Linked DNA regions of Bombyx mori. The main gene of each other region encodes a partner of the protein of the gene in region 2 in a complex. Links are inferred from orthologs where the notes say so. Each region holds a gene or a part of one and is shown on either strand. Other genes may lie near its edges.

Region 1 (4,442 bases), on a different chromosome or scaffold from region 2:
ACTTACCCCCACTACGTCAACAAATGCTCAAGAAGTTTGCCGGTTATTATACAAAGGATTTGTTTATGTTCAATCAAATAAAATTCGTTTTGAAAAACGTTCAGTGCCCATTTCAAGTAATTAAATATATTTTTTATGAGTAAGACTACGTATATTTTACTACTACACAGAACAAATATTTTAATATCAGCCAAATTATTTTTATAACATAACAAAGAGGTTTCATTAACACCCATTTAGATAATTTAGAGGGAGATCTTTGTCCCCCGGTGGGACATCCTACTAGAGGACATGCCCAATATTTTTTTAACATTATTATACACTACTATCTGTACCCGTCCGCTTCACTGGGCATTTAAAATTAACATTATTATTTCTCACCCCCACAAAGATTCACATCATTAACGCCCCCGCAACTGGTGTAGGGAGTCCAACACTCATATAATTAGCCTATCCATTATGTACATGTATTTTCTACATGGATAACAAGTTCAAGTCAATCGGATGCATGGTTCAGTAGTTATAACGGAACATCCATAAAAACCACTGTAGATTTATTTATTAAGTATAGATTTATAAAAAGTTTATTTTATTTTCCACTCACTTCTAAAACAACAATCATGAACATCCTAAGTTTGTTGTCTTGGTGGACCTTGTTGTGGCGGTGCGGGCGGCGCAGGAAGCGCCGGTGCGTCCGGCGGTTGTAACGTGCGTGTACGCCGACGAGTATAATGTTGCCATAGCAATATTGCTTGATCGTCCATGAATTTGCAAACCTTAAGGAAAATATTAATCATTCATTAATGAAGATATTTTGAACAGTACCTATCCATCAGAGTGATCTAAACACAGGCTTTATTTAAAAATTGTAATACATACAAATTATACTGCTATCGGATAAAATTAAAAGCGGTATTTGGTCAAGGGCCAGTTTGGCACAGTCATAAATTTTATATTTGGTAGAGTACAAGAATAAAGCACAGCTACTAATGAGGTGGTAAATAAAAGCCAATAAATTATAATAATATGACTTTTGCAGTAACTTGTACGTGGTCATTAACAATTACCAAATTTATATTCTTACATTCAAACTAGCTCAATTTCATTTGCATATTTTTTTTACTGTTGATTTGTAAGTCAAGCTCTGTTTTGGTTTTAAGCCCATAAACATCATACTGTGAAACCTATAAATCATAAAACTATATCAGAAAAAAAAAAGGCCAAGTAGTGTTAAGTTGTTACCTGAGCCCATAGACATGTACAAAGTAAATGCCTAAACAAAAAAAAATACAATGGCTGCCCCACCCATCAAACCGAAACACATTACTACTTCACTGTAGAAATAGGCAGGGTAGAGGTACCTACCCCTGCGGACTCACAAGACATCCTACAACCAGTAACTACACAAATTATAATTTCGCAAGTTTGATTCTTTTACTAGATGGTGTTATTCCTTAACTGTGGAAGTCAATAGTGAACATTTGTTTAGTATGTATCTCATTATAATAATTGGAACCTGCCTGCAGGATCTGAACACCTTTGTATCGCTTGATATGAATGCGTCAGGTCAGCCTGAGCGATAAGCCTTCAGGCCACAACAAACCTTCATATAAACACTACTTCAAAAACTGGACCAAGGTGGTCACGACCCTCAGCAATGAGGAAACGACAGAGAAGAAGAAGAAGAATGTTTATCAGCGGACTTAAAACCTATGGCATTATCTACCGCTCAAGCAAAGATTATATGGAAAATAATTTAGTAGGTGCAATTTGTACTCACTTGTGCCGATACACATTCTCTTCTAAATGCTTCATGTTGTAATAACTCCAAAAAATGCAAACACATGGGATACTTCAAATATCTAGCATATTCTGGCTCTCTCCAATATTGCAAATATTTAAGATAGTTTACAAAAGTTTGTTCTTTAAGATAACCTCGCTGTGCCAAAACTGTAAATAGACAGAGTTGACATAATTGACATCCATTACACATAACATTTAAAAACACTGGGCAGAAAAACATTTAATCACAAAATAGACGATTAGAAACTAAGTCACAATAACAAAATCATTAAACCGGTATGAAAAATACCTAACAATTTATTACTTATTTCCCTCTTGTGATGATTTGATGACCAACTTGATAGCTTCAGATCAGTCATCACATTAAGTTATCATTATAAGTTTCCATAAGTGTATGTATGCAGTGAGCAGCATTAGCCTGCATAAGTTCAAGTGGCAACATTTACATTATGATGTCTATGTACTCTAGTAATCATTGTATACCAGGTGAGTGTGAAGTCTAACAACAAAAACCAAAAAGGCAACTTACAGTGAATGTAATTTGGATTTGCTAAGCACTGCACAAATTCAAGTTCCACTTGAAATCTTATTCGATTCTGCTCTTCAGTTTCTGGCATTACTGCAATTAAATTAAAGATTATTAATTTATCATGAAATAACAAACTGTTAAATAAAATTATTTCATTCTTTCTTACCTTTTCCAGCCATCATTTTGAACCCGAAATATATGCAGCTGGAGTATTTAAATTATTCAAAATTAAACAAGTTGGTCAGTGGTGTACGTCTCAACAAATCTATGACCAAAATAATAACATATTTTCAGGTTACACAAGACAGTTCATTTTATCCTTATATAAATATGTGATATTTAAGATTTTATCATTACTAAAATGTTACACAGTACTTAGTAAGCTCTTAAAATTTTTAAATTAATTAAATCACATAAATAAATTTGTGTATATATTTTTTTCCGAGTCCTACACAACGTAACACAACTACACAATACTACATAGATTATACACTTAATATACATAGATTATACACTTAATATATACGAGCAATACTACACTACACATTAAGTTAGTCTATGACTATGATCATCATCCTACTTAGGCTTAATATTTGGCCTAAAGGTACTATACCTAAACTTTTTGGCGGGAACGCGATGAGTGAAGTTGTGTGATTTGTTTTATTTTGTCTATTTAATGTTTCTTCAAGTTTAAATGGGTTCCTCCAAAAAGTCCACTGAACAAACCACAGTAAATGATCACCATTTTACTGAGATTATATTTCATCCCATATTATCTCATTCCATTTAATTTCATCCCAGTTGATTAATTTCTCAAATTAATCATCTTCATTTCATTTCACTCCATATTATAATTTTTCATAAAAATAAGAATATAAATTAAAATAAAATATAACTTAAAGGTCTTAGTTAACAGGTCATAACATCCCTTAAAAAAAATCTGGTTTAAATGTTTAATAGAGCTGGTTTATTAACTGTTTAATATCTGTAAAAGTGCACAAATGTGGGAAAATAAAATATAGCCGCTGAACATAACTTCTCGGGATCCTCCAACAAGTCCACAGAAAAAGTCTCAATAAATAACCACCATTTTACTGAAATTATATTTCATTCCATATCATCTCATCTCATTTCATTTCATGCCATGTTTCGTATTAATCAGCTTCATTTATACTTAATATCATTATTATAATATTATTATATATATCAAATAGATATAATTATTCTTAAAAAATCCTGTTTATAGAGTATAAGTATATATACTAAGTTTATTCTTCTATATTAAATGAATTTCTACTAAATGTCCCTGCAATATATTTCTTGAACTTATAAATAATTATCATTTCAACAAAAACAGATTTTGTGTGCATTATATTTACATTTTTTGAACTAAGTATGAATTTAGGAATTATTAATTTTATTATAAAATACAAGTATCTTAACTATCTCCTATTGCATGGTAATGAATAGTATCATTAAAAATAACTGAACTGAAAACCACGCTAATTGTACTTTAACGACTAATTGACCGTCTTCACTCTTCACCGACATTTTTTTGTTGAATTATTGTTGAAGTTTTCAATATTTTTTTGATCCACTTATGAAATAATTAGACAGTATAAACCATAGATTATACACTTAATATATGTATAAACCATGGAGTTAATAAGTAGTAACTCTATGGTATAAACGCAGTTCTTCTTCTTCTTCTTTATTTTTGGCTCTGGCACGTTTTGTGCATTAGCCAGCGTCAAGTAATAACGTTTTTATAATTCGCCGTTTTATTTATTTACAGTTTATAAATAATAAAAAACGAAGGAAACTTATCGCAACAAAACATAAATGATTTAGAACGAATTGAATTTACAAAAAAAATCAGAATAATTATATAACAGGGAAAATAAATCAAAATTATAGTTTAATGTTATTATTTAATATAAACCTACTTAAAATACTATATACAAGGGGATTAAAATCTCGAAGAAGTAAAGAAATATTAGTAGGAAGGGGAACAGAGAGAGATACTAAAGAAGTATATAAGGAAGAATGATCATATAAAGAACAAGAAAAGAAAATATGATTCAGGTCACAATAACTCTCGCCACACTCA
Region 2 (3,654 bases):
TTTACAAACTAAATGGAAGGAAGCCATGGAGACGTGTTTATAAATACGCGATTTCTCACTTATAAACACTCGTCGCCGATCGGTCGCAGTGAAGACACACCTTTACAAATAAAACTTATCAAGTGTAATTGAAGACAGGACGGGGTTAAGTACCATTTTTTCCTTTTTTATTGCTTAGATGTGTGGACGAGCTCACAGCCCACCTGGCCGGTCACAGGCGGATACCAATTTTTCTAATGAAATACGTACTCAACAAATGTTCACGATTGACTTCCACGGTGAAGGAATAACATCGTGTAATAAAAATGATACCCGCAAAATTATAATTTGCGTAATTACTGGTGATAGGACCTCTTGTGAGTCCGCGCGGGTAGGTACCACCACCCCGCCTATTTCTACCGTGAAGCAGTAATGCGTTTCGGTTTGAAGGGTGGGACAGCCGTTGTAACTATACTGAGACCTTAGAACTATATCTCAAGGTGGGTGGCGCATTTACGTTGTAGATGTCTATGGGCTCCAGTAACCACTTAACACCAGGTGGGCTGTGAGCTCGTCCACCCATCTAAGCAATAAAAAAAAGCAAACTTGTTAAATTTGTATCATTATAAGTTTGTTTAATGTTATACGACGATGTAGGAATCGTTGAATTCATATATACGCTATAAATACGCGCGCACGCAATGTACTACGAACAAAAACATGACGAGTCAATGAACTCGCATGACGTTTTCGCTTTACATTGCGGGTCGGGCGATTAGTGTGAAAGCACACGTTACCTGCTGCAGCAGATGCTTGAGGCCCGGGTTGGTGGGCAGCATGGGCCGCAGTATGCGCGTCGGGTGAGCGCCGGCCGCGCGCAACTGTTGCTGCAACTGCTGCTGTAGTTGATGCTTGCGCTGTTGTTCCTGTAACGTCAGTTAAGCTAACTAAAGCGATTCGAGACACGAGTAAGTTCAGCGCGATATATATGTATATATTTATATTAATAATCACCCTCATTAGTAACATAGGTGAGTCACATTTTTGGCGGAAACGAGAGAATTGAGGTTATGTGATTAGTTTTTTTTTTTAATTAGCCTCTCTTTACTATACAATAATGAAGACTTATATTAATTTATAATTTATTTAGTATTTGCGGATTGTTTGAGTGTAAGAAAACAAAAACAATATCGCTGAACCATTAAAGCTTCCATTAAAGTCTCAATTAATTTCCCACAATTTCATTTTATTTCGTTTCATTTCATTCAAATTCAAATTAATCCACTTCACTTGTTTCACACTTTCATTATAAACTAAATTATGATTCGACTCAAAGGACCATGAATTGGAAGCTATTAAAAATTTAAACTATCGTAGAATTATTTTGTCCGTGCAGTTTGGGTCATAAATAATCGGAGCGGTGAAGCGAATATTCCGCTCTCCACTCCCGAGCCTTATGGACGGGCATAGTGATAGGCATTATTGTTTTCGATAATCGTTATGGATAGTGTATTTAGTTTTGTCATTTTGTGGGTTAGTGATAAAAATGAAAGTAAAAATCACTAATCGAACACTTACACCACATATCGCCGCAGCAATTTAACGAGAACGGCAGAAATTAACATTTTGTAACTTTTCGGGATCTATTTTCATTTCAGTGAAATTTTTTAACACATTGTTGAAAACAACACGTGCAAATATTGATTTGAATAAATTTTACCATTTTGGTACAAAACAAAGGAGTAGCCATTGTGTCACTAAAGAAATTCCGAGAACGAATGCATAAAAACATATTTCTCTTCGACATATGGTACTATAATTTGCAGGTAGGTACAACAGATGACTCATAACATAACAATGTCTCATCACCCTTCGTATACCACCCCGCCGCCGTGTACTTGCCTTCGATGACTCATTTGTTATTATCGATAATGGCGTTGCGCCCGCGCAACATGCTCACTGCCCTAGCTGGGTTATGTTTTATGACCCAAACTGCACCGACAAAATAATTTTCCTATAGCAATGCATATGATTACTTCTAGCTGTTTATAGTGCTGCTCTTGTTGCTGGGCGGCGTGCAGGTGCGACATGATGTCCATCTGCGACTTGAACTGGGCCTCCTGCTGGTGCGCGGCCTGCAAGGTCTCCTGGAGCTGCTGTATCTTCTCCAGGTTCTGTTGGCGGGCCGCCTCCAGCCCGTCCAGCTGCGTCACGGAGCGCGGGCCCTTGCCGCCGACAACGCCGCCCGACATCCCGCCGCCCATCATCATACCCTCAAAACAATATTATTACATTTCAAACACGTTCCACTGCGAATTTTTGGGCCGTCAATTTTTTATCCGTGCCTGATATCTATATGTATAGTCTGTGCGACCACGAAAACTACGTAGTATTCAAGTATTCAATATGTCAAAAATAAAATAATGACAATAAAAAACGTAAAATTTAAACCGTAAAACTAGTTTTAATTATATCCAAGATTCGCAAAAACCAAAGAAAATACTATAGTTAATCTTATCTTAATCTTAATCTTATATGATTTGGTTATGTCTCTATACATTGACACAAAACAATGTAGTCTATATATATAAATATATACCTGTGCGTGTTGTTGCATCTGCTGCGACACTATGGTGCTGTTGGCGGGGCCCAGCGCCGGCACGCTGCCCATCGCTCCCATCCCGGACGAGGACATGCCCGCAGTCGACATCTGACCTGCAACTAAGGACCGCACTCATTAGTCCACGCCACCTCTACCTCCTCCATCACGCAAATGTACCTCCTATCTATCTACAAAATGACGTTGTATATGTCTATGGGCTCCGGTAACCCCTTAACACCAGGTGGGCCGTGAGCTCCTCCACCCATCTAAGCAATAAAAAATAAAAAAATAAAAAAGCAATGCGAGGCTAGGATATGCAGGGTGGAGGTACTCATACGTGAGGAGTGAGAATATATACGGCACCAGTAAATGTGGCCGAGTCACTAGTGTGACTTGTGAGATACGGGTCTACCGGGTGTCTTTCTTATACATAGCAAGTTGCAAACCAAAATAATTCTCTAATTTTTTTTTGTCCGCTTTAGAAGCCCGCAGTGTATTGCGAACATGCAACCTAGCCACTACCCTCAGACACAGCCCACTGAGTTTCTCGCCGGATCTTCTCAGTGGGTCGCGTTTCCGATCCGGTGGTAGATTCTGCGAAGCACGGCTCCTGCTAGGGTTCGTGTTAGCAACGTCGTCAGGTTTGAGTCCCGTGAGCTCACCTACTAGTTAAGGTTCCGCTGAAATAGCCTCTCAAGGCTATCAACTTAAGTAGGAAAAAAAAATAAAAATAAAAAAAATAACCACTGGATAATTGCCTACCCAACTCGAGACGTGAAGTCCAAGTGTCAATGGTATAACAATTATACCAACCTTCAAACTGGAAAGCGCGACTGCTTTGGCGCAACAATAGATTATATACTGTTGCAAAATCATTAAATGTTACCAATAACCGTCATTACGAGCCGATCGCTTGATGGGGCGGATGCTCATGTTCCACCCAAGCCCCTAGAGAGAAGGTGGCATCGAACCTGGCATGCTGGGCGGCGGTCCGGCGGCCGCGCTGACCGTCGCCGGATGCTGCTTGTTGATTATCTGCTGCGTTATCTTCTGCTGTTGGATGACCTGGTCGA
Region 3 (4,396 bases), on a different chromosome or scaffold from region 2:
ACTCTATTAGGTAACTTAGCATAACAAAATCTTATTAAATCTACCATGCAATCGAACCTGTTGAAAGCCAAGTAGAAGTTACTAGAAATCTTAAGTTCAGAATCAAAAGTAATTACTATGAAGTAAAGATAATAAATTAGCTATAAGTTTAAAACATTGCCTGACTAGCAATTTTAGGTATTTCATAAAAACAAAAGTCTTGCAAACCTCATTTTTCTTATTATGGTTTAAAATGTGATAAAAAACTTCGTTTTTTCTTCATTTTATGGACATATACACCCCATTGAATAATGAAGAAATATAGATTCAGATAAATCTACTCTTTTTTTTATTTTATTGCTTAGATGGGTGGATGTAACATAAATGCAATGGTCTCAAGTATAGTTACAACAGCTGCCCCATTCTTCAAACCGAAACTTATTACTTCGGCAGAAATAGGCGGGCTGGTAGTAGCTACTCATGCGGACTCACAAGAGGTCCTACCACCAGTAATGACGCAAATTATAATTTTGCAGGTTTGACTTTTATTACAATGTTATTCCTTCACTGTGGATGTCAATCGTGAACATTTGTCAAGTATGTATTTCATTAAAAGAATTGGTACTTGCCTGGGATTCGAACACCAGTGCATCGCTTAACACGAATGCACCAGACGTCTTATCCTTTAGGCCACAACCAATTGTATGTTATTCTTCTTGTGTTATTATACCATTCAACCAATTGAGGAAAACTTTCCACTTTAATGAAATGTTAACAACATTCCATCGTATTACAATCAACTTATGATAGATAGCACGTGTAGTTTCAACAAATGAGTGCCGTTCATACATTTAGTCATATGCACAACAAAGTGTAGAGGTACATTTCACTAGTAATGGAATATCACTAGAACACAATGAATTACTAATTTTTAGTCATCTTTAGTACAATACTCTCTTTGGGCTCATTATTCGACTTAAACCTACTTGTACACTTATATTTACGGTAATGGATGTTGGTTTGGTGTAAGGCCTCCATGCTCAGGGCTGTGTTTTTGCTTTTTTCTCTTTTTCTCTTTTTTTCTCTTCTTTCGTTCTTTCTCATCGTCATGACGTTTTTGCTTCTTATGCTTTTTCTCATATGTGTCTGGATTTGATGAATCTAGAATAATAGATATGTTTTATATTAAAACTCAAGACAAAAATGGAGTATAAATAATATAACTTATAAAGCAATTTAAAAAGTATCACTTGACATCTAAAGTTAAATGAAATCATTGTGGCCTAAAGAATAAGACGCCTGGTGCATTCATATTGAGTGATGCGACTGTGTTAGTGTTGGAATCCCGCAGATAAGTACCATTTTTCCTTATGAAATATGTACTTGACAAATGTTCACAATTGACTTCCACAGTGAAGGACAGTGTTGTAAACAGACTCACTAAAAATAATTGATAGGGTGTCTTCTGAGCCCGCACGGGTTAGTACCACAAAATGTAAAATGCAGAGTACAATTACACTGCAATTCAAATACTGTCTTAACTAGATTAATGTAGTCAAAGTGCCTGGAAGACTCACCTAGACCTAAATAGCATCTACAGGTGGCTAATTTGTAATATTGTCTACAAGCTTGGGACATAGCTAAATCTATTAAATCAATGTTGTTGAGTTCTGAGTTCTTACCTTGTAAAGGTGTCTCTTGCCCAGGAGGTGCACCATCTTTATGCTTATGTTTCTTATGTTTGCTTTTATGTCGCTTTGGTGGTGTTGCACTCACATATCTGTACTGCTCAGGAAGTGGGCCAGGGTGTAATCGAAAACCTGCCAACTGAGCACTAGTTAATGGCAGTAATTCTTTACCACCAATTGGTCTCTTAGCTATAACTGAACTTAGAGTACTGTTATCGTCCTGCCCAGGTCCGTCAACGATGCCCGGCAGGTTCGGAAGGAAAGATGATAGGGATTCCTTCAGCTTTTTGCCATTAAACTTACTGTAAGAATGTACAAGTCCATAGTAGGCCATTAAATTTGTAGCGCCTGTCAGTTCACATTCTCCTGTAAAAGAAATCGTCGAAGTCACTTCCTGAATATAATTATTTAAGAATTTGAGAAGAGAATGTTAAAGAGTTGGAGATACTGACCCGGGGGTTCTTTCATCAAATAGAATGGTCCGCTGTGCACTATAGACGGGTTTTTGCCTAAGGATATAGTAGTTTTGAGTGTACCAGAAGAATCTTGGCGAGAGACGACTGGTGACCTCGCACCCCTCGGCGACGATTTTGGCGAATATGGTTCTACTTTCCTAAACTGATCAGACATCATCTTGGATGACCATTATCTACGAAACGAACTTAAATAAATTAAATACTCTAAACAAAATCACAAAAAATTAAAAAGACCTTCCCTACTCCCAAGCTTTTGACAACTCTAAAAAATAAAAGTAGGAACAATGTTGCAACACTTTTTTTTTAAGGGAACTGAGACCTTTAAGTCATGTCTTATTTTAATTTATATTCAATTTTTATGAAAAATAATATTATGGAGTGAAATAATGAAGACGACTAATTTGAGATATTAATCAACGGGATGAAATTAAATGAAATGAAATGGGATGAAATATAATCTCAGTAAAATGGTGGTCATTTACTAAGATTTTTTCAGTGGACTTTTTGGAGGATCCCGAGAAGTTACGTCCAGCGGCTTTGTTTCATTTTTCCACATTTGCGCACTTTCACAGATATTAAACACTTAATAAACCACCATTATTACACATTTAAACCCGAAGAAACACTAAATAGACAAAATAAAACAAATCACACAACTTCACTCCTCACGTTCCCGCCAAAAAGTCCTGTTGCAACACTAGCTTTGTAACTCCCACAGACTCTAATATTGTTATTTAAAGAAAATCATAACAATAGGTACATGGTTTTGTTGGTTCTCAAGAAATTTATATTTAAATTAAATACTAGCAATTCTCAAATTAAAATAGCAACTGTCTAATTAAAATAGACTTGTTTTGAATTAGTTGAAATAGTCTATTATAGTTCTGACACATAAGCACTTGGAGCTTCCGTGATAATTTTGTATGGAAAATGAATTGTGATGTCTATGAGCTTTGAAAACACTTTAAAACTGGTCCAATGGTGTTGGAGTTTGAATATGTAAGTAATGGCAGGTAACACTTGACACATGTAAGGTTACAGTTTTCGAATATTGAAATGCTTATTTAAATATTTAAAACAGATGAGTCTTCTCTTGAGTGAGGACAATGGCTTCTCTTCTAGACACGGACTATGCAACATCTTAGGGTTTTATAAAATAAAATATTGTAATGGTGTTATATATTAACCATGAAGCAGAGTGTTTTTAAATAGCCCCTCACCTACAGAACCCAGTCCTCTCAAATTTAACCGTCCAACAAAAGGTCTCGGTAACAGGTCATACAATCTTTAAAAAATCCACTAAACAAGAAAGCATGAGCTCATTCAAACTTTGAAGCAGTAAAAAAATCAAACATTCTTATTGAAACAAATGCTTAGGCTTTTTTTTTTGTTTAAGTCGTCCTGGCTTAAACTATAAGACGTCCGTAGGCTTAGTGCGAGTTTCAAAAATCGAATCGAATGACTCGCATCGAGTGTACGCTCTTCACGGTGAAACGTGCGGAGCTCTGAGTGCGAGTTACTTGATTTGCAGGACGTTTATTCATTTTGAAAAGCGATATTTTTTTCTTTTATATTGGTAGCACGCAAGGTTTTTTTTAAGGCGTTTAATTGAAATGCCAAGCTTTCTAACGATATTTATAATTAGTCGGGTAATGGGTAATGTACCTGTGCTTAGTGCAAGTTTTTTTAATTACTCAGTCGATGTTAATGTTATGTTTATTTTGTGTGAGGTTGTATCAGTGCCACCTAGTGGTAAGCTTATGAATCTCATTTTGTGGGAGAGAGAAGGTTTGTTTATGTTGCTGTCTCATGTATCAAATAGCTTTACCGAAGTGAGCCTCTCGATTATTGTATGTGCGAGTGCGAGTTGCAAATTAATGGATTTTGAGAGTATTTCTTCACTTTCAAGCAAGTTAAGTAGTCACTAAAATTTTTGCCGTGAAAGCAATATAATATCAAGATTTTTTCTTTCGTTTTTAATAATAATGTTGTTTTTGAAGGTTTTATCTATTCTAATGGTTTATACACATATATTTTTTCGGTTAGAAAATTTTATAGACGTCTAGCTAGTTGTAAATACATATTAATTCTTTGCTTTTTCATTTAATTCTTATTAAATCATTGCTTTTTTTTAAAGAGATGTTTGATGAGAGAGAGAGAGTGAGATAGAGTATTCTTTATTGTACACAAAATGAATAAATATTGCGAAACATTCTTGGTCTTATCGCTAAGAGTGATCTCTTCCAGACAACC

The links. Proteins that work in one complex are often made in the same cells at the same time.
Region 1: mediator of RNA polymerase II transcription subunit 25 (region 2) and mediator of RNA polymerase II transcription subunit 31 share a complex: the UniProt entries of both Homo sapiens proteins name them as parts of the mediator complex. The link is inferred for Bombyx mori from reciprocal best matches to the Homo sapiens genes MED25 and MED31.
Region 3: mediator of RNA polymerase II transcription subunit 25 (region 2) and mediator of RNA polymerase II transcription subunit 19 share a complex: the UniProt entries of both Homo sapiens proteins name them as parts of the mediator complex. The link is inferred for Bombyx mori from reciprocal best matches to the Homo sapiens genes MED25 and MED19.

Annotation. Positions count from the first base shown.
Region 1 is NC_085122.1:5,746,468-5,750,909, forward strand, and holds the start of mediator of RNA polymerase II transcription subunit 31, read right to left. Parts: upstream 2,826-4,442; 5' UTR 2,515-2,825; coding exon 2,499-2,514; intron 2,423-2,498; coding exon 2,333-2,422; intron 1,951-2,332; coding exon 1,781-1,950; intron 777-1,780; coding exon 630-776; 3' UTR 605-629; exon of another isoform or gene 1-604. UniProt on the Homo sapiens protein: Component of the Mediator complex, a coactivator involved in the regulated transcription of nearly all RNA polymerase II-dependent genes.
Region 2 is NC_085126.1:7,896,071-7,899,724, forward strand, and holds part of mediator of RNA polymerase II transcription subunit 25, read right to left. Parts: intron 3,647-3,654; coding exon 3,553-3,646; intron 2,701-3,552; coding exon 2,579-2,700; intron 2,253-2,578; coding exon 2,016-2,252; intron 906-2,015; coding exon 777-905; intron 1-776. UniProt on the Homo sapiens protein: Component of the Mediator complex, a coactivator involved in the regulated transcription of nearly all RNA polymerase II-dependent genes.
Region 3 is NC_085116.1:16,053,109-16,057,504, forward strand, and holds the start of mediator of RNA polymerase II transcription subunit 19, read right to left. Parts: upstream 2,826-4,396; 5' UTR 2,301-2,825; coding exon 2,120-2,300; intron 2,034-2,119; coding exon 1,662-2,033; intron 1,141-1,661; coding exon 980-1,140; 3' UTR 1-979. UniProt on the Homo sapiens protein: Component of the Mediator complex, a coactivator involved in the regulated transcription of nearly all RNA polymerase II-dependent genes.